Linked DNA regions of Sus scrofa. The protein of the gene in region 1 interacts with the protein of each later gene in a biochemical or structural test. Links are inferred from orthologs where the notes say so. Each region holds a gene or a part of one and is shown in the gene's direction. Other genes may lie near its edges.

The links.
Region 2: the proteins of ARAF (region 1) and GNA12 form a complex in vitro, tested with the Homo sapiens proteins (2 studies listed by BioGRID). The link is inferred for Sus scrofa from reciprocal best matches to the Homo sapiens genes ARAF and GNA12.

The regions. Positions count from the first base shown.
Region 1 is NC_010461.5:42,080,404-42,092,445, forward strand, and holds the end of ARAF (serine/threonine-protein kinase A-Raf), read left to right. Parts: intron 1-768; coding exon 769-871; intron 872-961; coding exon 962-1,116; intron 1,117-1,233; coding exon 1,234-1,332; intron 1,333-3,186; coding exon 3,187-3,328; intron 3,329-3,435; coding exon 3,436-3,463; intron 3,464-3,563; coding exon 3,564-3,709; intron 3,710-3,804; coding exon 3,805-4,007; intron 4,008-6,593; coding exon 6,594-6,770; intron 6,771-6,873; coding exon 6,874-6,920; intron 6,921-7,445; coding exon 7,446-7,564; intron 7,565-7,800; coding exon 7,801-7,932; intron 7,933-8,838; coding exon 8,839-8,973; intron 8,974-9,265; coding exon 9,266-9,400; 3' UTR 9,401-9,843; downstream 9,844-12,042. Other genes in the region: SYN1 (synapsin-1), read right to left, coding at 10,803-10,938. UniProt on the Homo sapiens protein: Involved in the transduction of mitogenic signals from the cell membrane to the nucleus. May also regulate the TOR signaling cascade. Phosphorylates PFKFB2.
Region 2 is NC_010445.4:2,001,698-2,013,739, reverse strand, and holds the end of GNA12 (guanine nucleotide-binding protein subunit alpha-12), read left to right. Parts: intron 1-5,974; coding exon 5,975-6,025; intron 6,026-7,698; coding exon 7,699-8,268; 3' UTR 8,269-11,246; downstream 11,247-12,042. UniProt on the Homo sapiens protein: Guanine nucleotide-binding proteins (G proteins) are involved as modulators or transducers in various transmembrane signaling systems. Activates effector molecule RhoA by binding and activating RhoGEFs (ARHGEF12/LARG).

The DNA.
Region 1 (12,042 bases):
CGGCCTACACTACAGCCACAGGAGTGCCGCATCCGAGCTGTGTCTGTCACCTACACCACTGCTCACGGCACTGCTGGATCCTTAACCCACTGCGCAAGGCCAGGGATCGAACCCGCGTCCTCGTGGATTACTCGTCGGGTTTGTTACCACTGAGCCACAACAGGAACTCTGCTTTTTAAAAAAAAAAATTAAGTAATTTATTTTTTCTTTTTTGGCTGCCCTGAGGCATATGGAGTTCCCGGGCCAGGGATCAGATCTGAGCTGCCTTTGCGACCTACGCCACAGTTGCCACAACGCCGGATCTTTAGCCCACAGTGCCGGGCCAGGGATCAAACCTGCATCCCGGTGCATCAGAGACACCACTGATCCCGTCGCACCACAGCAGGAACTCCCACTTTGCTTTGCTTTATATTTGGTATTTCAGTGCCTCACCAGCTGCTGGCTCAGCACGTCGGAGATTTAGTTGTTTCTTCACTGTCTCATTTGCTCCTCATTGTGTGGTTAAGAGAAGAGCAAGGACTCTTCCTGCTGTCCTGCCCCTCCCAATCCCTTGTGGCTTTGGACGAGTCACTTCGTCCCCCTGAGCCTATTTCCTCATGTGCAGAATGGGGGAAAGCATAGTACTGATTCCTAGAGCTGCCCTGGTGAGCATGACACATGTCACCTGTTACTCCATGGATGGTGGGCTTGGAGGGACTTTTGGGGGTTCCATTCTCCCCCATGGCCCCTGTCCACCGTCCCGCTCACTCCCTTCCATGCCTTCTGCAGGCGAAAGACAGTCACCGCCTGGGACACGGCCATTGCCCCCCTGGACGGCGAGGAGCTCATTGTGGAGGTCCTCGAAGATGTCCCCCTGACCATGCACAATTTTGTGAGTGCAGGGTAGAGAGCGGGGGCAGACCGTGCACGTGGCGGGAGGGTCCCTGACCAGGCATCAACCGTCTCTGCTCTGTGGCGGCAGGTACGGAAGACATTCTTCAGCCTGGCCTTTTGTGACTTCTGCCTTAAGTTTCTGTTCCATGGCTTCCGCTGCCAAACCTGTGGATACAAGTTCCACCAGCATTGTTCCTCCAAGGTCCCCACAGTTTGTGTCGACATGAGTACCAATCGCCGACAGTGAGCCTGGCCTGGGGTGGGTGGGCAGGTGGGGTGGGGAGGACAGAGGCCCAGCCCCAAGGCTCGTACAGCCAGCTGACCCATCTTCCCTCGCTTTACACCCTCAATGCCCTCAAGGTTCTACCACAGTGTCCAGGATTTGTCCGGAGGCTCCAGACAGCATGAGACTCCCTCGAACCGCCCCCTGAATGAGCCGCTAACCCCTCAGGGTCCCAGGTAGGGGATGCCTTAGCCAAAGGGCTATTGTCAGGAGAAAAAGATCTGGAGGCCCCTGTGGACCACAAGCCATACTTTATTCATTTGTTTACTTGATGAACATTTATTGAGCACCTACAAGTGGGGTTGAGGGCATGGAGCTGTGGGACCTTGGGCAAGTCACCTAATCTTTCTGGGCCTTAGTTTTCTCATCTGTAAAGAGGGGAAAGTGACACTTTGATCACACGGGGGTCTGGTGAGGAGTAAATGAGTTAAGACATGTCCAGTGCTTACGGAGTTCCCGTCGTGGCACAGTGGTTAATGAATCCGACTAGGAACCATGAGGTGGCGGGTTCGTTCCCTGGCCTTGCTCCATGGGTTAAGGATCCAGCATTGCCGTGAGCCAGGGTGTAGGTCGCAGACGCAGCTTGGATCCCGCGTTGCTGTGGCTGTGGTGTAGGCCGGCGGCTACAGCTCCAATTGGACCCCTAGCCTGGGAACCTCCATATGCTGCGGGAGCTGCCCAAGAAATGGCAAAAAAGACAAAAAAAAAGACATGTCCAGTGCTTACAAGAAGATCTGGTACAAGATAATAAGTTCTTATTGTTAAATATGTGTATACTAACCACTTCATTAATTCCTCCAGTATAAACATGCTCAGGCCCTTCCATTTTGAAATACATGTTATTTTACCATAAATTCCTTTTCACTTCTCCTTTGTGTTAAGTATTATACTCTAGTATTTCAATATCAAAGCATATTATTGCCTTAATATATCCTAAGCTTATATAATACGCATTTTATATGCCTATATATTTTATAGCATCTGTATGATGTCTTTATGCCATTGTATTGTGTGTCATATTTGTAATGTTTTTATATGATGTCAAACACCAAACTTTATGTAATCTGTAAAATTGTAAAGTTAGGGATTTTTAATTTGGGGGCCTATATGAATTAATTATCTCTAATTGCATTTCAGGATAGGGAGGGAGCATTAAATATTTTGAAACTATGTATGATATATATCATGTATAACATACTTGAATGGGTGTATCAGCTAGAACATTATTATATAGAAGCATTGCCGTTTTAATATAGAGAACATACTGTACATTGTATGGTGCACACAAATTTGAATAGTACAGGCAGTTATATGATATATATTGCTCTGCCCCCACTCTCTGTGCGGCCGGCTGTCCCTCCTTTAAGTCTTTGCTCAAATGTCACCTGCTCAGAGAAGCCTTTCCTGACACAACCAGTGACACTTTCTGTCTCCATATGTTGCTTTATTTTTTGCTTTATTGCACCTGTCATGATTGATCATGTTAAATTTTTTTTTTTTTTTTTTTGCTTTTTAGGGCCACCCCCGTAGCATATGGAAGTTCCCAGGCTGGGGGTCGAATCGGCGCTGTAGCCGCCAGCCTCTGCCACAGCCACAGCCACGCGGGATCCGAGCCGCATCTGCAACCTGCACCACAGCTCACGGCAATGCCGGATCCTCGACCCCCTGAGCGAGGCGGCCAGGGATCGAACCCGCGTCCTTATGGAGAGACGTCGGATTGGTTTCTGCTGAGCCACGACGGAACTCCTAAATATTCTTTATTTTTCATGTCTCCCTCTCCCTGCTGCAGTCAGCCCCATGAGGGCAAGAACCTTTATTTGTTGGGCCCATAGCTTTCCTTCCACTACCTAGAGTGGTGTCTGGCACGGGGCAGGCACGCAGTCAGCGCTTCTTGAACAGACGAATAGTAGTATAATCACAGCGGACACTGACGCCGTGTGAGCTAAACACACACTCAGGACGGGGTGGGGGGCTGCTCTGCTGGTTCTCTCATTCCCTCGACAGTGATTTCACAGCCTTTCCCCTGCCAGCTCCTGCACCCAGCACCGCGACCCTGAGCACTTCCCCTTCCCTGCCCCGGCCAATGCCCCCCTGCAGCGCATCCGCTCCACGTCCACCCCCAACGTCCACATGGTCAGCACCACCGCCCCCATGGACTCCGGCCTGGTCCAGGTTGGTGTCGAGGCGGGCGGTCACCGGGGGGGAGCACCGGGCAGAGGGGAGGGCCGCCCCCGTGGTCCTCCACGTCCTCTCTCTGACTCCCGGCCCTCTTCTTCCAGCTCACTGCCCAGAGTTTCAACACTGATGGTGAGCGCCCCCCCGCTCCCTGCCACCCACACCCCTACTGAGCCCCCCCCCTCGACCCCCGTCCCGCCCGGGGCCACTCACCGCCTCTCCACACCCGCAGCTGCTGGTAATAGAGGTGGTGGCGACGGAGCCCCCCGGGGGAGCCCCAGCCCAGCCAGCGTGTCCTCGGGGAGGAAGTCCCCACATTCCAAGTCGCCATCTGAGCAGCGGGAGCGGAAGTCCTTGGCCGACGACAAGAAGAAAGTGGTAAGCCCCAGGGGGCACCTTTGGTGGGGGCACCGCTGGCCGAGGTGACAAGGGGCGTGGGCGGGCCCCTGAGATGCCACCCATGTGGCCCACAGAAGAATCTGGGGTACCGGGACTCGGGCTATTACTGGGAGGTGCCCCCCAGTGAGGTGCAGCTGCTGAAGAGGATCGGGACGGGCTCGTTTGGCACCGTGTTTCGCGGGCGGTGGCATGGCGATGTGGCCGTGAAGGTGCTCAAGGTGGCCCAGCCCACAGCCGAGCAGGCCCAGGCCTTCAAGAACGAGATGCAAGTGCTCAGGTGAGATGGCCCGCGTGTGCGGCTGGGGGGCGAGGGCGGCGGGCACGGCCTCGGTGCCCCTCTGGGGAAGGGCCGAGCTGGGGGCCCTTCCGGCAGACACCCCCCTCCACCACCAGGTCTGTGTTGTGTCCTAACCACAGCTGTAAGCCGTTTCTCTATCAGGGAAGTCCCTTTCCCCTCGGGGAAGCAGGTATGCTTAGAGGACCTCTCACGATCTTCTTGTCCGTGCGGAGGTAATGACTGATATTCATCAGCGGCTCTGCCTCCAAAGTGTGGGTCTTTTCCGTTTGCCCGCTGTGAAATGGGTATGGCCACAGGCCATCAGTAACGTCATTGCGTGTCCTTACAGTAACAGCATAATGCGAGTTAAACCACATCACCAGGCCGGCTGGCATCCTTCCCTCTCCTGGGCTTGTCCTGCCTCATGAGTATGGTTATTGCGTTGCGTCCTTGTTATTAATTCCAGCAGTACCGTACCTCAAAGGCCAGTATTAGAGGCATAATCAGAACCATAATGGACTCCTGGGCCAGTAAATGAATGTCATTGCTCCACTTAATGCATCATTAATACTGTATTAGTTCATTCGTGCTGAGAAACCCTGGTGCTCCCGTTTGGCCACCCTAGTTACCACCCGCCCTGGGGTTGCTGGTGTCGGCTTTCCCTGGACAAGTGGGCACATTTATGTTACAGAGTGGATGTTATCATCATACTTCCTTGGGCTGTTTTCATACTCAGCCTCACAGTGGAGGCCACAGTAAGAAAACTTTCAGTCTCTGCTCCCCTCTGTGAGATGGCAGTGATTTGAGCAGGCTGGGAATTTGCCCTGCGTTAATATCGAGGAGCTCCCCAGTGGCTCAGTGGGTTAAGGATCTGGCAATGTTGCTGCCATGGCACAGGTTAGATCCCTGGCCCCGGAACTTCTGTGTGCCATAGGTGCAGCCAAAAAAAATATATTGAGGCGTTCCCACTGTGGCACAACAGGATTAGCAGCGTCTCTGCAGCTCCAGGACACAGGTTCGATCCGCGGCCCAGCACAGTGGGTTAAAGGATCCACCGTTGCTGCAGGTGCTGCGTAGGTCACAACTGCGGATGGGAGCTGATCCCCAGCCCAGGAACTCCATATGCTGTGGGGTGGCCAAAAAAGGAAAGAAAAAAAAATCGAGGCGTTCCTGTCTTGGCAGGGGAAACGAATCCAACTAGGAACCATGAGGTTGCGGGTTCGATCCTTGGCCTTGCTCAGTTAAGGATCCAGTGTTGCCGTGTGCTGTGGTGTAGGTTGCAGACACGGCTCGGATCCTGCGTTGCTGTGGCTCTGGCACAGGCCAGCGGCTACAGCTCGGATTCGACCCCTAGCCTGGGAACCTCCATATGCTGCGGGTGCAGCCCTAAAAAAAAAAGACAAAGGACAAAAAAAAAAAAAAAACAAAAACAAAAAACAAAAAGGAAACCATAACCTGACTGCTGTAAAGAGCATGGTTATCCACTCTGATGTGAGCAAATCGAGCAGCATCCTTGATGTTCCTTGTGTTTATGTCACCAATGTAACTGTAGTTAATGCTTCTATGAAGAGTGAAGGTTTTCTTCTAAATGAGGGTGGCTCTGTTCACACAGGACAGGGTTTCTGTGAGGTAGTCCCAGCTACCCAGTAGCGATAGCAGCAAGGACAGTGGCATTGTCAGGGTGCTCGCTTGTGTTCTGCTGTTCTAAGGACCGTACAGGTTATTTATTCAACATTCTCCTCCCAATACCCCTGTCGGGTAGCTCATATAATTATCACAGAGTCTTAGCTGGGGAAAACAAGGCACAGAGAGGTTACTTGTCCTCCCTGAGATTGCACAGTGAGTACCTGGGGAAGCCAGGATTGGAACATGGGATCTAATCTGAGCCCAAACCTCAAGCTCTTTTATCTCTAAGCCTCTCATGATTAACAGGATATGATCACACGTCCCTGATTTTTTTTTTTTTTCGGCTGCCCTGCGGCATATGGAGTTCCCAGGGCAGGGATCAGATCCAAGCCACTGTTGCAACCTATACCACAGCTTTGGCCACGCCAGATCCTTAACTCACTGTGTCAGGCCAGGGATCAAACCTGCGTCCTCGTGTTGCAGCGCTGCCGCCAATCCCGTTGCACCTCATCAGGCACTCCCACTGATATTTTTACCCAGCACATATCAATATTATGTTGATACATCACTGGAGGAGGTTGCTAGTCCACTTCCTCATCTTGCCTCATCACATGGTCACAGGCTCAGGTCATGGTCAGGGTCAGAGGGGTGGCAGGTGTTGTGATGAACTCGCTCCTGGTCAGTAGGGGGTCAGGGTGGGGGCGGTAATCCCTCCCTCCTGCTTTTGTTGGGAGACTTGGATGAGGAAGCTCCGGGCATGAGCCCCCAGGTTGGAATCATAGCCCAGCAAACGTCACTCACAAGTGCCTTGAATCTGGCCACAGTCTGGCCCTGTGCCTCCCAAAAGACAGGGTGGGAATGACGACAGAAGGAGCAGTGGACAGCGCCCTTCCCGATGCTCGATGCTCGGGAAGTTGCCGTTTGCCTTCCCTGCCCTGATGCCGCCCGCCCTGCCTGCAGGAAGACGCGGCACGTCAACATCTTGCTGTTCATGGGCTTCATGACCCGGCCCGGCTTTGCCATCATCACACAGTGGTGCGAGGGCTCCAGTCTGTACCACCACCTGCACGTGGCCGACACACGCTTCGACATGGTCCAGCTCATCGATGTGGCCCGGCAGACTGCCCAGGGCATGGAGTGAGCGGCCTGGCCCGGGCACTAGGGAGGGGTCGGGGGGTTGCTGGAGTGGGGAGATGAGGTGGCCTCCAGACAATCCGCCCTCTGCTTCTACCCCCCATAGCTACCTCCATGCCAAGAACATCATTCACCGAGATCTCAAGTCTAACAGTATCCAGCTGCCCCTGTGTAAGGGCTGGGGTGGGGGGCATCAAACAGGAGGGCTTGGAGGGGTGGCTCTTATGGGGAGGCTTTCTGGGGGAGAACAGAAGGGGCACTCAGGTGGCATTTCCCTTTGCCAGGTGCCAGAGCTGGAGCTGGCGAGGGGCCTCTAATGGGGGGGGGGGTCTCTGGGTCACAGGAGTCAGAGTGGTGGCCAGTTCCAGTGCTGTCCTCTGGGGACCCTGGTCAGGGCCTGCGGGGTGGCCGTTGTGGAGGGCATTATGGGGAGTTCCTGATCCGTGTTGCAGGCGTGGTGGGTGTCGGTGCCATTAGAGGAGCTTCCTGGTCAGGAAGTGATGCGGGGGGTGGGGGGTGAGGGGGCAAGCGTAGGGGACATTAATTGGAGCTCCCCACCCAAGTCCAGGTCGTGGCTAGTCTGTGTGACACTGGGGGGCTTCTGGTCAGGGGAGCGGCGTGACTGGTGCGGAGGCATCAGTCGGGGCGAGTCGCAGTGGTGATCCTTGACCCCGGCGGACATCTTCCTACACGAGGGCCTCACGGTGAAGATCGGGGACTTCGGCCTGGCCACAGTGAAGACGCGGTGGAGCGGGGCCCAGCCCTTGGAGCAGCCCTCGGGCTCCGTGCTGTGGATGGTGAGTTGGGCCTGGCTAGAGTAGGGGCACGTGGGGACATGGGTGGCTGGCGAGGATGTGGGAGGCCAAGTGGGGACAGGGATACCTGGGCCAAGTGTGGGTGTGTCTGGACAGCTCACGTTTCGCCCCAGGGTGTGTGGCTCTGCGTTACACCCAGTGTGGCGAGTGGGATCTGGGCCTCCGGGCCAATCTTTTGCTGACCTCCTGTTCCTCCTGCCTGGTCTGGCCTCTTGAAGGCGGCTGAGGTGATCCGGATGCAGGACCCGAACCCCTACAGCTTCCAGTCTGACGTCTATGCCTATGGGGTGGTGCTCTACGAGCTCATGACCGGCTCGCTGCCTTACAGCCACATTGGCAGCCGTGACCAGGTGAGCCCCGCACCTCACCTGCCATCGCCCACGCCGGGGCATCCCCTCAGCCTCCAAACCTCGCATCTCCTCCGCACAGATCAGGAGACCCCATGTTTTCTGGGCTTCTCATGTTTTCTCATGTTTTCTGGGAATTCTCATTCCCAGAATCCTCTGGGTCTCCCATACCCAGAATTGCCCTGGGCCCCCCCAGCTCCCAGAGTCCAGATGCACAGTGGTCTGGCCTGGGTGCTCAAAATTCCCAAACATCCCCAAAGGCCAGACTCCCATTTCTTCCAGAAACAATCCCTTTGTGCTTCTAAAATCCTCAGATACCCACAACCATTCAGGCCATGGGTATCTGGCAGGCGGGGGTCCTGGAAGCCAAAGTGCTTTAGGCCCCAGACTCAGGGTTCTCCAGGTTCAAGCCCTGGAATCACTCAGACCCTGGGTCAGAAACCCAGGGTCCTCTAGGCTCCAGGTACCAATAGTCTTTGGGTCCTGTGCACCTGAAGTCCGCCAGGCCACGTGGAGCCATAGTCCTCCAGGGAAAGACAAGCTCCTGAGGGCTAGAGTCCTTTTGGTCCTTCCAAGCCCAGAACTTCGTGTTTCCCCCAGACTCCATGCTTTCCAGGCCCCTGAGCACCCTCGAAACCTGTGGAGCCCTTAATCCTCTGGGCCCTGGACACTTAAATCCCCGACTTCCCCCAAGCTTAAATCCCTCGGTTCTGTCAGCAGAGAATCCCTCCGAGTCCTCAGAGACCCAGAATCCTTAGCTCCACAAGATACCCACCATCCTCCGGGCTCCCATACCCAGAATGCCCCAGTTCTCCAAAAAGGAGCCCCCCAAGTCCCTCAAGACCCAGATTTTCCTGGCCTTCTCAGCCTCGATCCCCGGGTCACTTCACTCTGGCCCTTCCCCGCCAGATTATCTTCATGGTGGGCCGTGGCTATCTGTCCCCGGACCTCAGCAAAATCTCCAGCAACTGCCCCAAGGCCATGCGGCGCCTGCTGTCTGACTGCCTCAAGTTCCAGCGGGAGGAGCGACCCCTCTTCCCCCAGGTGGGCCAAGGAGGAGGGCTGGACTACCTGGGGAGGAAGCTTCTGAGGAGGAAGGCTCTTGAGGTGTGAATGTGAACTGTGTGTCTTCAGGGCTCCAAGGTGTGTGTGTGTGTGTGTGTGTGTGTGTGTGTGTGTGTGTGTGTGTGTGTCTCTCTCTCTCTCCAGGGCTCCAAGGTGTACAGGTTGTGTGTGTGTGGGTGGGGGGGGGGGTTTCCCCGTTAGGCTGGGGCCTGGGGTTGCCGGAGTGGCCATGAGGCTCTGGACACCCCTCCTGACCCACCCCTGCCCCCAGATCCTGGCCACGATTGAGCTGCTGCAGCGGTCACTCCCCAAGATTGAGCGGAGTGCCTCGGAACCCTCCTTGCACCGAACCCAGGCTGATGAGTTGCCTGCCTGCCTACTCAGCGCAGCCCGCCTTGTGCCTTAGGCCCCACCCCCAGCCACCAGGGAGCCAATCTCAGCCTGCCACGCCAAGGAGCCCTGCCCACCAACCAATCAATGTTCTGTCTCTGCCCTGATACTGCCTCAGGATCCCCCATCCCCGCCCTGGGAGATGAGGGGGTCCCCATGTACTTTTCCAGTTCCTCTGGAATTGGGGGACCCCCCAAAGACTGGGACCCCTGCCTCCTCCATAATTGGGTTTGTTCTTGGCTTTGGGGATACTTATAAATTCAGGGGCTCCTCCATCTCCAATGGCTGGGATTTGTGGCAGGGATTCCACTCCGAGCCTCTCTGGAATTTGTGCCTGATGTGCCTTCCACTGGATTTTGGGGTCCCCAGCACCCCGTGTGGATTTGGGGGGGTCCCCTCTGTCTCTCCCTCACCATTCAAGGACTCCCCTGTTTCTTCACCAAGAAGCACAGAATTCTGCTGGGCCTTTGCTTGTTTATTTTGTTTCCCGACTCTTCTCGTGGGGTTCAGAGCCGCTGAGGGGTGAGGGTGAGTCCAGGCAAGGAGTGGAGGTTGGGGGTAGGTGCGGACCACACAAACAGCGCCACTGCACGCATCACCACAGGCGGCACGATGAACGAGGACCACATATGCCAAGCACGGCACGAGAGGAGGCCACGTCAGTCACAGACACAGACACCACGGCAAAGGTGGGCAAGTGGGGGACCACTGGCCCGCTGTGTGCAAAGGATTCTGGGAGGTTGGGTGGGATTTGCATATTTAAAGACAGCTGTCAGAGGCAGGAAAGTGGGGCTAGGGTCCCTGGGGCACCGAGGGGTCCTAGCAGTGGGAGGAGCTCCCAGTGTGTTGAGTAGGGTGGCCGGGGGTTGGGGGTTGGTGTCCAAGGGAAATCCTTGTGGGGCTGGGCGGGGGGCATTTGAAGAGCTGGATCTCCCGCAGTGGGAGGTCACAGAGGGGGTCTCAGAGGGAGGGGTTTCTTAAGGATTTTAAGGATTGGGGAAATTCTGATGGGGAACAAGGTGTGCTGGAGACATCTGTGACCAGGAGTGGGGTTTTCCAGGAATTTCAGGGCTCCAGGAGGGGTTGCCTGGAGTTTGGGTGCTTCCAGGAAGGAAAACGCACTCGGGGGGGACCGGGAGTGGATGTCTTCAGGAATGCTGAGGTTCTCAAACTGAGAAGTAGGGCTTGGGGTGAGCGGGAGGGGGCTTTTGAAAGGACATGGGCATTCCGAATGTGAGAAGTGGACTTAGGACCAGGAGCGAGGTTTCCCCAGGGACTCGGGCTTTCTGAGGAGTGAGAAGAGGGGTCTGGGCGATCCAGGAGCGGGCTTCTCAAGGGGTGAGACTCCAAAAGTGAGAAATGGATTCAGGGCCCAGACGGGGGCTGCCCAGGGAAGTGGGGGCTCTCGGGGTGGGGTGTCAGTCGGAGAAGAGGCTGGCGAAAGACTTCCTCAGGCTGCGGATGGTCTCAGCTTTCACCTCGTCCTGGCTAAGGCTGGGCCTGGGCGGGGCTGGCTCTGGAAGGTTGAAGGCATTGGTCAGAGACTGGGATTTGCTAGAGAGAAACAAGGTGGAGGCGTGGGAGGAAGGGGGTGAAGAGGAAGGGAGGAAGGGGAGAGAAACACAACGTTACCCCAGGCCCGGCCCCAGCCCTGCCCCTCTGGTCCTGGGGCTGTGCCTGTGACGCCCCCCACCCCCCCACCAGCAAGGGCCTGGACCCTGCCGGACTCTCAGGAGGAGTGAGGGAGGCCTGGGCCAGGCTGGGCGGACCTGAGTCCGAGGTGAAGAAGCCCGGGATTGATGGGAAGCATCCTGGGCTGAATCTTCTCTTGAGATTCTAGGCTAGACTGCGAGGAGTTTGATAGAAAGGTGACATGATGAGCAGGGAGGTGTCCAGGCTAAGGCCGAGGTGTCCAGAAAGCGGGCGGGGTGGGGCTTGGACCCAGAACAGGCTGGAAGGGGACAAGTGTAAGGGGGTGCGGTCGGGAGGGGGGCAGGGAGGACCTTCTGAGCTAAGGAAGGCGGTCTGGAATGGGCCAGAAGCGGCAGAGAGGATGCTCGGTGTGATGTGGGGAGAAACTGAGATGGACCGAGAGCATTTAGGGGCGGATGAGAAGGGAGCCTGGACGGGAGGAGGCAGAGTAACATAGGAGGACCATGTTGGGGAGGGGGCGCGAGGAGTGTGGGGGTGCAGATGGGGGGATTCAGGTAGGGCAGGAGGAGGATTCGGGGGGCAGGGGAGTACTGGAGGAAGGTCAGCAAGGCATCTGAGGGGGGCCGCGAGGGGCTGGGGGCATTTTCCCAGGGCCTCCTGGGCAGAGTCTGAACTGAAAGAGTGTGTGTGTTGGGGGGCTTCTCTGGGAGTCTGGCTGGGGGGATTTGGAGTCTGAACTGAAAGAGTGTGTGTGTGTGTGTTGGGGAGCTTCTCTGGGAATCTGGCTGGGGGGATTTGGAGTCTGAACTGAAAGTGTGTGTGTGTGTGTGTGTGTGTGTGTGTGTGTGTGTGTGTGTGTGTGTGTGTTGGGGGACTTCTCTGGGAGTCTGACGTCTGAACTGAAAGTGTGTGTGTGTGTGTGTGTGTGTGTGTGTGTTGGGGGACTTCTCTGGGAGTCTGACGTCTGAACTGAAAGTGTGTGTGTGTGTGTGTGTGTGTGTGTGT
Region 2 (12,042 bases), on another chromosome or scaffold:
AACACCATGGGCGTCTCGCTGTCACCGCAGCAGCTCGAGTTGCTGCCGGGGCACAGGTGTGGCCAAAAAACAAAGAAAAATTACACGTGGAATGACCCTGTGACCCGTAATTCCACTCCCGGGTGGCTGTATGCCCGCAAGACTTGAAAACAGGTGTTCCAACAAAGACGTGTGCGTGAGTGCCCCGGCGCTCGTCTCAGTGGCCGAAGCCGGAAGTAATCTGAACTCCATCCGCGCGCCGACGGATGCACACGACACGGTCCAGCCGCACGGCGGCCTGTTCTCAGCCTTGGAAAGGGATGCAGACCCGGCAGCGGCCGCAACACGGGCGAACCTCCAGGGCGTGATGCCGAGTGAAACAAGCCCAGTCCTCGGGTCAGACTGTGATGTGTAGGAAATCTCCAAAGGGGCACGTCGTGAGACGCACCGAGGGGTTGGTCGGAGAACGGGGCTAACTGCTCGCGGGCGCAAGGCCCACTTTGGGCATGAAGCGCCGGGAGCTGGTTCAGGAGCGGGGGACACAGCCCGGGGGATGCGCTTGGTGCCACGGCGCTGTACACTTTACTGTGTGAGTTTTACCTCAATTTAAGAAGCAGACAAAGGCAAGAGGGCCTGGCCCTCTGACCTGGGGCCGCACCCCATCGTGCAGGCCCAGGAGACACACCCAGGCCAGCCCTGCTTCCAGGGCCTGTTTGGGCCTTTTCCTGGGTCTCACCACCGTGGCCAAGGGGCAGCCGTTGCTGGGATCTTGGGCGGAGGCTGGCGCTTGGATACGGGGCTGGAGCACGAGCTCGGACAACGGCCCGCAGCGGAGGCGGGAGAGCTGGTCCAAACCCTCTGCCTGAGGGGAAGGCGTCCCAGAGGGACACGTCCAGCCTGATAGGCCGTTCCAGCCGTTGGTTTCCGTTTGCCTTCGATTCTGGGGGGTGGTTTTGTAAAACTCAATTGCATTTTTAATTATGTACAGTGTTTGCATGGTTCTGGGGTCAAAATACATTCAGAGAGGTCTGCTTCCTCCCGGCCGCACCTCCCTCCCCGTTGCTCTCCCTTTTCACTGGTTGCTGGTTTATCTTCCGTGTTGCCTTCTGAAAATAGGAGCACACGGTATGTGGGATTTGGCTTCCTCACCATGAGACAAAAGAAGCGCAGTACGCCCCCCGTTCTGCACCTCGGGTGCTTCCGTCCGACGGCGTGGGAGTCTCTCCCCAGCGGGCTGTCCCTCGGGCTCCTCCTCGTTCCTTTCCGCAGCTGCGTGGTCCTCTACCCAAGGGACGTTTGGCTTGTCCCCAAATGCTGCAGCCACCGGCTCTGTGCATCCGTCATTTTGCCAGTGAGTCTTTTACCTTCTTCGGATTATAATTACCAACAGTTTGTAGGCATCCAAATTAAAATGTGAGAATCTTTATTTTTCTAAGGTGTCCATACACACACACACACACATACACACATGTGTGCGTGCATACATATATACACACATGCATGCATATACACACACATACACACAGATACATGCATATATATACATGCACACGTATATACCCACATACCTAATTTGGGGGCCGCAGAGTACAGCGGCTTGATGTGGGATCTCAGTTCCCAGAGCAGGGACTGAACCCAGGCTGCAGCGGTGAAAGCACCGTGTCCTCAGCCATTAGACCACCAGGAACTGTCGATAATGTATATTAATATGATGCTTTATCTTTTTCCAGATACGTTCACAGCTATGATATCATTTAATCTCACGGGATCCCAGGGAGATGTCACAGGTTCTAACTGAGCAAAGCCTGAGTTCACAGTGAAAGTTTCTTTTCGGGAATTACATGATACTTTTTGAAGTATTTTTAAAAGTACTCTGTTCAGTCAGGTTGTTTTAACCAAACATCTCTATCACGTGGAAGTAAAGTCTTGAATTTGCTGTTTACTAAGTCATGGAACTGAGCATCTGACCTTCGGGATAGTTTGTTGTTTTTAACACACAGCAGTTTTTAAATCTGTCTTTGTCATTTGTCGTGTTGAAATGAGTGAACTGGATTTTCCAGTCCCGCTCGCCCTCGACGAGCCCTGAGTTACAACTTTAGAAGTAGCTCCCCAGAGCCCAGGGGCAGGGAGGGCTCCTGGGAGGCCAGATGGGGGTGTCGGCGCTCGCTGCCCCTCAACCTTCGCTGGCCCTTGAATTCTGCCGCCTCCGCCTTTGGACCCCTTGGCCTGACCCACCCCTCCCTCCGCCTTCCCCTCTCCTGTGGGGCCTCTGCTGGTGATTCCTGACCCAGGCAGGCTCTCTTTCACGCTCATACCTCCCCTGTGACACTGACAGAAAGGACCAGAATTCACCCAGGTGTGGGAGACTGGATTCCCATCCAGAGAAAGGTGTGACCAGAGCAAGCCCGTCGTGCCCCGGTCTCGACGGCCTGGGCTCACTCCCAGCTGAACGAGCTGAGGCTGTGTCCTCTCGGACCTGCGCGGGCTGCGCGGTGGCCTGAGGGGCAGCTTCTGGGATGCGGGAGCACAGGAGCGTCCGTCTGACCAGCCGGACAGGATCCCTCAAGGCGGCATGGAGCCTGAACGTGTCTTTCACCAACTAGAGGGGTGGGCGATGGCGCCCGAGATCAGAGTCCATTTGCCAAAAAGGCGTCGTGCACATAAGCTGGGCCCTGCCTCTGTCCTCGTGTCATGCGCCCATCTGTTCCAGCACCTGCTGCTGCCGCTTGAATCAGACAGCCTGGCTCCTCCACCCCTGGACCCCCTCAGCATCCTCGTCCGGAGCTTCGCTGGGGGCTGGAGGCAGGAGGCAGGCTGGATGTGGAGTGTGGCCTCACTGGCCCCTGAGCTCATGTGTTCGTTGTGTTGGGTCTAATCCATGAATCCATCTTCTTCATCTTAAGTGATTGAGATTCTTCAAACCAAGGAGGGCTATAAAAAGCCCATTTCCCACGTCCTCCTCTTTGTAGACCATGTTACTGCTGCAGCTACCAGGAGACCCTCAGGGCGCTTTGCCTCGCATAATACTCTTTTTTTTGTCTTTTTGCCGTTTCTCAGGCCGCTCCCGAGGCAGATGGAGATTCCCAGGCTAGGGGTCGAATCGGAGCTGTAGCCACCGGCCTACGCCAGAGCCACAGCAACACGGGATCCGAGCCGCGTCTGCAACTTACACCACAGCTCACGGCAACACCGGATCCTTAACTCACTGAGCAAGGCCAGGGATTGAACCTGCAACCTCATGGTTCCTAGTCGGATTCGTTAACCATTGCGCCATGACAGGAACTCCATACTCTTTTTATAAAGGTGCTGTGTTTGTCCATTCAGCCTGCAGTAATAAAACACCATAGACCTAAACAGCAAGCATTTATTTCTCACAGTTCTGGAGGCTGGTCTTGCAAAGTCAGGACACCAGCAGATTGAGCGTCGGGCGGGGCCGGCTTCCCGGTTCATAGACAGCATCTTCCCACTGTGCCCTAACGCGGGAGGCGGGAGGGAGCCCTCTGGGGTCCCTTTAATAAGGGCACTGAGCCCATTCATGAGGCTGCACCCTCGAGACACAAGCAGCTCCCAAAGGCCCCGCCTCCTGACACCACCACCCCAGGGGTTAGGTTTCAGCCCCTGGGGAGGGGGTCACACACGGACATTCCTGTTCCAGTGTCTACAGCGGAGTCTGGGTGGTTAATTTCACATTGGCATCTCGGCTTGTGCCCCACACGCTCCTCTCGGACAAGGGCTGAGGATAGATCAGAAGGGTGACCCCGACCTTTGAACGAGCTGACGCTGCAAGCCTGTGGCGCGTGCCCATCCTGTAGGCAGCCTTGCAGATGGAAGACGGCCCCCTCGGTCCGACCGCACAGCCTGTGTCCTCGGCCGCGTCCAGCCCAGCCGGCCAGCAGGGCGGAGGCTGCGGAGTTGGCCCACCGATTCTGGTTTGAACGCTGGCTCCTCGTCTGCCCTCCTTGTCCCCTTCCCTCTCGCCCGAGTCAGAGAGCAGAGCGGCCCCGCCCTCTGCCTGGCATGTCCCCTGCCTGGCATGTCCCCTGCATGTCTCCCTGTCCTCGTCGGGGTTCTCTTTAGAAAGAGCCGTGGCCATGACCGTGCAGCGGCATCGCGCACGAGGCACCTCCGGTGTCGGGAAGCAGGTTGCTGCGGCTCTTAAAGCATCCTGGTGCCACAGGAACCCCAAAGGCCGTTAGCATGAGCATCCCCTGCGTTCTAAGGTCCATTGGGGTGACCCTGACTTCCGACTCAGTATTGGAAATATTTAAAGTCAAACTGGGGGACATAATTCCTTCTTTTTTTAAGAGAGCCTGTGTTTAGCTTGTCCTTAATTGTGTCCTTGGGGCTTTTCACGCCACAGCTGTGTGTTGGGCTTAAGGTTGCCCCCGTGTTGCCGGGACATCTGCCACATCACAGTGACAGAACGGGCTGAGGCATGTGTTGCCGTGACCTTTTGTGCTCTGTCTGGCGCAGACCCGCCGCCAGGGAGCTTGTCCACTTTCTTTTCTCCTGGACCCACCGGCAGTGTCCTCAGTCTTCCTAAGCTCTCCTGTCAGGAGGTGAGAGGGGAGGCCCTGTGGGGGGAGACGCAGCCAGAGCTCAGGCGAGCAGCCACCCCCCAGCAGCGCTTCGCCACCAGCTGTGTCCTGTCGAGTCGTGGGAGGAGCAGGCCGTGCAGTGAGCGCCTAGGGCAGCCGTGGGCAGGGGCGCGCTGCCGCCACCACGCCAGACTGCGGCTCTGCCTTGGGGGACCTGGGGATGCGGGCACCGCTGCCTGGGCCCACCTCTGACTGCCTGGACCTGCTGGAGCAGAGCCGGACACCAAGGGGGAGAACTGTGCCACGAGTCAGAGTCCGTGCCCAGGGGGAGTGTCCCCTGGCCTGAAGCAGAAGGCTGTCTGTGCGCCACGCACAGGCCTCAACCCGAAGGCTGCTTTGTCCCTAAGGGGCCTCCCGCCGTGGCCGCTTCCTTGGGGCCTGAGCCTCGTAAGAAGAGCTGCCGCTCCCGTCTTTGTTCACCTTGTTTTCATGGGGTCATGAGCTCAAGCTGGACCCTGGCTCCTTTCTACTGCCCCCCCCCCGAAAGGTCTGCCGTGGCCTCTGCGGCCCGCGTGTGTGGCTCCCTGGGCGACGCCCCCAGAGCCTGGCGCCACCCCACTGGTCCCGTCGGCCGAAGGAGGCTCAGCGGAGTCTCTAGAAAGCCGCGTCCCCTGCACCGGTCAGAACCCCTTCCCCACGTCCGGCCTTTGCAGGCCGGCGCCCGCCCGCAGGCCCGTCCCCCGCCGCTCCATCCAGGCCGAGGCCGCTGACGTCCTCAGGCCGAGAGGGCAGCCGCGTCCCACAACGCCAAGGGTGCAGGAGTGCGGGTGATTCTCAAGGTCGCTGCCAGCTACCCAGCGTCTGGGTCTGTGTCCACGTCCAGTCCCGAGCGCGTCTGGGGGCTGAAGAAGACGGGCCGCTGCAGCCCTGAGTCCAGACCAGAGCGTCCCTTGTCGTAGAGTGTAAATCAGGTTGTACAAATGTGTGGCAGGGCCTGCTGGCGACACTGGAGCATGTTTTGTCCTGTGTCTCTTGCCAGAGATGTCCCCTCTCTCCAGCAGTGCGGGAGTCCTGCGCTGGCAGCGCTGCTCGCAGGACCACGGTCCTCCCTTCGGGCTCCCTGGCGGCGTGGCCTGCAGCGGGCCAGCCTCCGCATCCGCGAGGGAGGCGTCAGCTGGGTTGGAGGGGCCAGCAGCCTGCCGTCGCCAGGAGCCAGTGGGGACACTTTAAAAAACAGTTGGAATTTGAACCTTGGGATCCGCTAGAGAAATGGCATTTCTGGATGCTTGGGATTGGTTTTAATTTTTAAAATTCCATGCATGCTCTCAGTCTTTCACTTTGCCTTCCAACTCACCCAGAGGCAAAACCGCACTCTTGCGACCCTGCTAAGTTCTCCCTGTACCACGTCCGCGTTCCTCAACCGAGACTGAGTCGCGAATCTTTTTCCTCCACGACAGGGCGAATCGGTGAAGTATTTCCTGGATAACTTGGACCGGATTGGCCAGCTGGTGAGTAAGAGCCCCCCTCCAGGAGCCTGTGGTCGAGGGTCAGAAAGCATCTGTGTGGAGACGGAAGCCGCCCTCGAGAGCCAGCCTCGCTGCGTTGGGGACCAGGAGTGCGGTGGAGACGCCACGCTCCCGCTTCCATCTGTGTCAGGATGGAGGGGCCGAGGGTTTCTTCTTCCTCACCGTCTTGCTGGGAAACCTCGAGTCCCTGCTTAAATCGGATGTAAAGTAGGGTTTCTGTAAGGATTCCTTCTCCCAGAGCACAAAAATGGAGACGGAAGTTCTTTTGTAAACGAAAGAGCTCCTTTAACTTTTCATCATGGAAAATGCAAACGTATACAAGGAGAAATAGTGTAATGAAACCCCACATGCAGTGCCTGTCGCTTCTGACCCGGCTTGTTCCCTCAGCCCCACCCCACCCCCAGGAACAAATCCATCATATTACTTCATCAAGAATATTTTAGAGGGGAGTTCCCATTGTGGCGCAGTGGTTAACGAATCCGACTAGGAACCACGAGGTTGCGGGTTCAATCCCTGGCCTTGCTCAGTGGGTTAAGGATCTGGCGTTGCTGTGAGCTGTGGTGTAGGTCGCAGATGCAGCTCGGATCCCGCGTTGCTGTGGCTCTGGCGTAGGCGGGTGGCTACAGCTCCGATTCAACCCCTAGCCTGGGAACCTCCATACCATATGCTGCAGAAGCGGCCCTAGAAAAGGCAAAAAGACAAGAAGACCAAAAAAAAAGAGAATATTTTGGAGGGTATCTCTGGACTGATAAGACTCTAAAAGTCACAACCACAATGCCATTATTGCTCCTAAAAAATTAGCAGTGTTCCTCAATATCAACCAATATCTGGTCAGTTGTGAGATTTTTCCCAGATGTCTCATTCATAAGTGTTTTCTTGCGGACGCTGCTGTATTTCAGCAGTTGGAATCAACCTCTTATTAAGGTCCATCATCGCATTTGGTCCATGTCACTTAAACCTCCTTTAATCCATAGGCTTCTGCCTTCATTTTTTTTTTTTTTTTTTTTTGGCTTTATTTGTTGGAGTGATTGGGCAATTTCTCCTGTGGGGTTTCTCACATCTGGGTTTTGCTGCGCCACCCCGACCGTGTTAATGCAGGTGTCTCTCTGCCCCCCCACACACACCCCCGTGCACCGTGGGAATGGGTTGGTCCTAGAGCGCTGTCCCTGCTTGGGTTTGGGGCCGGGCTGCTGCGTGAGTGCCAGTGTGCAGTAACCGCGGGAGGGTTGTCGGTGGTGCAGGAGCAGGGCGGTCTGCGTGACCGCGGTTGCCGGCGTAGTGCTCAAGACTGTAAGAGTTCCCCAAGAAAAACACATTAAATATACGGCAGGCGAAATTCAAAGAGCAGTGCAGAACCTCAATTAAATCTGCTCACACTAAGCTTTTGGAATGCGTGTGCCCTGCGAGTTAGAAAAATAGAAAGGTTGCGATGGTGCAGGGGGAGAAAGATGGTAGTTTCCTGTGGGGAAGAAAGGGATGAGGTTTTTGAGCAGGAGCCAAGAGGGAGGCTCCCGATCACCCGCCCTGGGTTCTGGGAGTGAAAGGTGCTTTTGGCGTCCGCTTCAGCCCCACGCTCTTTCCCTCCACGGCATCCCCCCCCCCCCCCACGCCGCCATACCTTCCTCCCCCAAGCGTCTCCCTGTCCTGTCTTGCAGAACTACTTTCCCAGCAAGCAGGACATCCTGCTGGCGAGGAAGGCCACCAAGGGCATCGTGGAGCACGACTTCGTCATCAAAAAAATCCCCTTCAAGATGGTGGACGTGGGCGGCCAGCGCTCGCAGCGCCAGAAGTGGTTCCAGTGCTTCGACGGCATCACGTCCATCCTGTTCATGGTGTCCTCCAGCGAGTACGACCAGGTGCTCATGGAGGACAGGTGCACCAACCGGCTGGTGGAGTCCATGAACATCTTCGAGACCATCGTCAACAACAAGCTCTTCTTCAACGTCTCCATCATCCTCTTCCTCAACAAGATGGACCTCCTGGTGGAGAAGGTCAAGGCCGTCAGCATCAAGAAGCACTTCCCAGACTTCAAGGGCGACCCCCACCGGCTGGAGGACGTGCAGCGCTACCTGGTGCAGTGCTTCGACCGGAAGAGGCGCAACCGCAGCAAGCCGCTCTTCCACCACTTCACCACCGCCATCGACACCGAGAACATCCGCTTCGTCTTCCACGCCGTGAAGGACACCATCCTGCAGGAGAACCTCAAAGACATCATGCTGCAGTGAGAGCGGCCGCGCCGCGGGCCCGGGCCCCGGGGGCGCGCTCCGTCCCGCCGGCGCGCGCACGGCCGAAGGCGGCGCCGCGCCGGCATTAGCTACTGAGTCCTGGGGACGAGTGACACTACTGAGATCCAAGCGGTCACCCTGGTGTGAACGTGCGACGCCGGAGAACACGGCTTCCCTCTTCCGGACGCTTCCTTTTCGGACGCAGCTTAGGCGGGGCCTGCGGGTCTGCGCGCGCCCGCGCCGTCCTTGGTGGCAGAGCCGCCAAAGCCCAGGTCTGTGCGGAGGCCGATGCCGGTCCTCTCCAGCTCTGCGTCCCCGCGGAGGGGCGTCGCCCGCTGGGGCCTCGCGGGAGGTGCCGGGCGTGCGGGCTGAGCTGGGTCCCAGCGCGGGGCCTCCCCGAGGGAGGGCGCCGCCTTTCCCTCTCTTGTGCCAGTTTCCCGAGAGGCCCTGGTCCCGGCTGTTCGATGAAGCGCCGGCGCCGGCTTGAGAGCAGGGGAGCGAGAATGCGGGTGTAGACCTGCCTTAACGCCCCCACAGCCTGCGTGCGCTGTCTTCCCGCCCCGTCAGATCACGGGGTGGGAGGTGTGGACGCAGGTGCATGCCCCCCTCCCTTTTGCCCGGCGGTGCCTGCTTCCTCCGGGCCACCCTCCCGCCCTCGGCCCTGCGGGCACTGCCTCTGTCCCCGTCACTCCCCGTCGCCCAGCACCTGCGCGGCTGCAGGGAGCCTCGCCCTCTCGGGGGCCTCCGGAGCTGGCGGGATCGCCAGCACAGCCTTCACTCGGGCCGCAGCTGCTGCCCGGAAAATCCGGCTTTGTCCACACTGCCACCCCACTGGTGCCTTCCAATAGCCAGCCCGAGGATCAAAGCTCGGATCCAGTCTGTTGCTTCTGTTACCACACACGTGACAGGTAAACACTACCGGCTGTGGTCTCCTCCGGGTCAGACTCCAGGAGGCTGTGAACGTCGCTGCGAGCTGGTAAACCCTGCTCTCCGGTGCTTTGCCCGGGTGTCTGTCACCGTTTCAAAAACACGCTGCCTTCCAGACTGGCCTCCTCTGGGTGTTCCTCTGCTACAATCTGTGTGGCCTGTCGAGGACTTTTCTGAGCAAGTGAACGAGAAAACACTTCCCCTGTAAGTGGCACCAGAATGTTCCTGTGGTTGAAGAACCATCCCCAGGCCCCGGCCCCAGGCCACGCTGTTCCGTCCTGTGTCCTGGGGCCTGTCCTGCTCGCTTTCATCCGGCAGATAAGCAGCGGCCTCGGAGGCTGGCCCGCAGGAAGGGGAGGAAGAGGCCTGCTTCTGAGTCATCCTGTTATCACAGCGTTTGAACGAGGGGACAGCACGAAATCCTTTCTCGTGCTCGAGGCTTCCTGTCGGCGTTTGCTGGAGTTTCGGCTCTTTTTTTGGCTGGAGAAAAGTTGCTGTTTTTGTCCTGCTTCCTGTGGCTCTTCATAAACCGAAAGGACGTGCTCCAGGTTCAGGGCCAGTGACCCTGGTTTAAGGGAAAAGAACGCGCTTGGGCTCCGTCGGGGCAGGGCCGAGGGCCTGCCCTGGGCCTGCAGCTGCGCTCTCCCTGCCGGCTGGGCCCGGGGCTCCCGGGGGCCTCGGGGGCCTCCGGCTCCCTCACCAGCTGGGAACCGTCTCCGTGGCTCTGCCCTCGCCATCCGTGCAACCGGCGGAGGTGTTGGAACGGCTCTCCCACCAGTTGGGCTCAGCCTGGTCAGTGAAGCAGCCTGACACGTGCGCTGGTCCCCTTGCAGACCCAGACGCGCCCCGGGAGGGGAGGCCGCGGCTGTTGAGGGGCCGGGACGCGGGTGGGACGCCTGAGGGCCTGGGCCCCCGCCCCTCCACTGCGAGCCGAGCAGGCAGCTTCGCAAGGCCTGATTTGTCATAGAGAAGAAGGTCACTCTTTGCAAGGCTAAACTAAAACCATTTACAGTTTTTCTGCACGTAGTTTATAGTCATTTTTCTGTCCAAAACCTTAGGCTTTTGTATTTTTTAATTTCACTGTTACTCCTGATTATTGTCTTTTTTATTGAGATGTTGGAGAAGCAGGAGATAGTTGTGCCTCATCTATTACTACAAAAACCTAACAATAAACTTCCTTAAACTAAGATACTTTCCTCATAGTTCCACCATTTACACACAAAGACACGTGTATGTGTTTCACTGAAATATTTTTTTAACCCTCCTGTTTGTAGACAACTTGTTTCACAGATACTGCGTTGTGGCTTTGTAATTTATAGAGATCGCTAGAGTCCTTCTTTTTATAGTTCTTTTACTTCTTTGATAAAAGAAGAAGGAGTCAGGTAATTTGAACTCCAAGACCAAGAAATAATCTTGCAACAAGATGACGGGTTGTGACCAACTCTGGCATCCTGGAGACAGACACTCGCCACCTTGGTGTCGTAAGTGTGGGCACCGTTTTCTGGAGCCTGGGGTGAACGGCTCACGGCTTACACTTTGCCCAGCCCTTTGGCATCGGTCGAGGGGCTGGTTTGATGATCTGACCTCTTTCAGTCTCTGGATATTTGTTAAAATAGATCCTTAATTTTTCTTCAATAGAAAATACCACTCAGCGTTCAAAGCCAACAGTAATTTTTCGGTCCCAGATATTCAGAGCAGATAGATAACTGTAACCCTGATGCTCCTTGAAGCTTCATTATTCGCCGATCAGTTTATTTCCACGTGGGACACGCAGGAGAGCCGCCACAGACACTGTGAGTGCACAAGCCCCCTGGACACGCCTGCAGCTCAGGGAAGAGCGCCAGACACACGTAGCAACACGCGTGTGTGTGTGTGTGTGCAGGGCGGGGGAGGGGGGCCTCCTGCTGCCCTGAACCTGGGAGCCGGGGGTGGGGCTGAGGAGAGGCCCGGTGATGGACCTGGATGTGCCCGGAGGCCAGAGGAAGGGAGGGTGGGGATTCTTCAGCCGCCGCCCCCTCTACTGTCCCCACCGCAAACCTGAGAAGCTGCTGACACAAAGCACGAGTGACTCCCAGTCATTGGCAGCTCATCCTGCTCAGGATCCTCTTCTGGAGAAGGAACGTAGGTCCCGCACGGGGGTCACGGCCAGGGCAGGGCACGTGGGCGCCGCAGAGCCCCTCCCCCAGAGAAACCTGTGCCCTTCCTTGTCCACGTGGATGGGGGCCAGCTGCTCTGTCGAAGCTGGTCCACGTGGGGGTGCTTAGCTCTGGCCCCCACGTGGGGTCACCTGAGGGGCTTTGCAGAGGCCCTGGGCAGAGCCACGCAGAGCCCGTCCTGCCCAGACGTCTCACGTCGGCACCGGGCAGGCTGTGCCGCTGGGACCCAGAGCCGTGGAGCAGAGCGCCTGCCTGGGAGGGAGGGCCCTCCGGGCCGGGGGTCCTGTGTCTCGCGTGGGGAGAATGCTGGTCGCCGGTGTCGTGGCCGCTGGGTCCTCCCTTGCTGTGACCACTCACCTCGGGAAGGACGTGACGGCAGGTGTTCCCACTGAGCCTCTGACAACCTGGGGGGCCGTCCTTTCAGCACCACTTTCTCCACCCTTTCTGGAAGCTTCGCCAGGGGCACTCAGCACCCTCCTTCTTCAGGGATGCTGGGAGATTTAGGAAACGGTGTGAAGGAAGAGGCAGACCCTTCTCGAGTCGGCCTGGTTTGCACAGCAGCCTAGGGATGGGTGGGCCTTGTGTGTGGGTCCTGCGTTTGGGGCGCCGGTCCTGATGCAGAGGGTGCTGCTGGGCCTGCAGCTAGGAGAGGGCCTGCTCCTGCTGGTGGCATCTTTGAGGCACCAGCCAG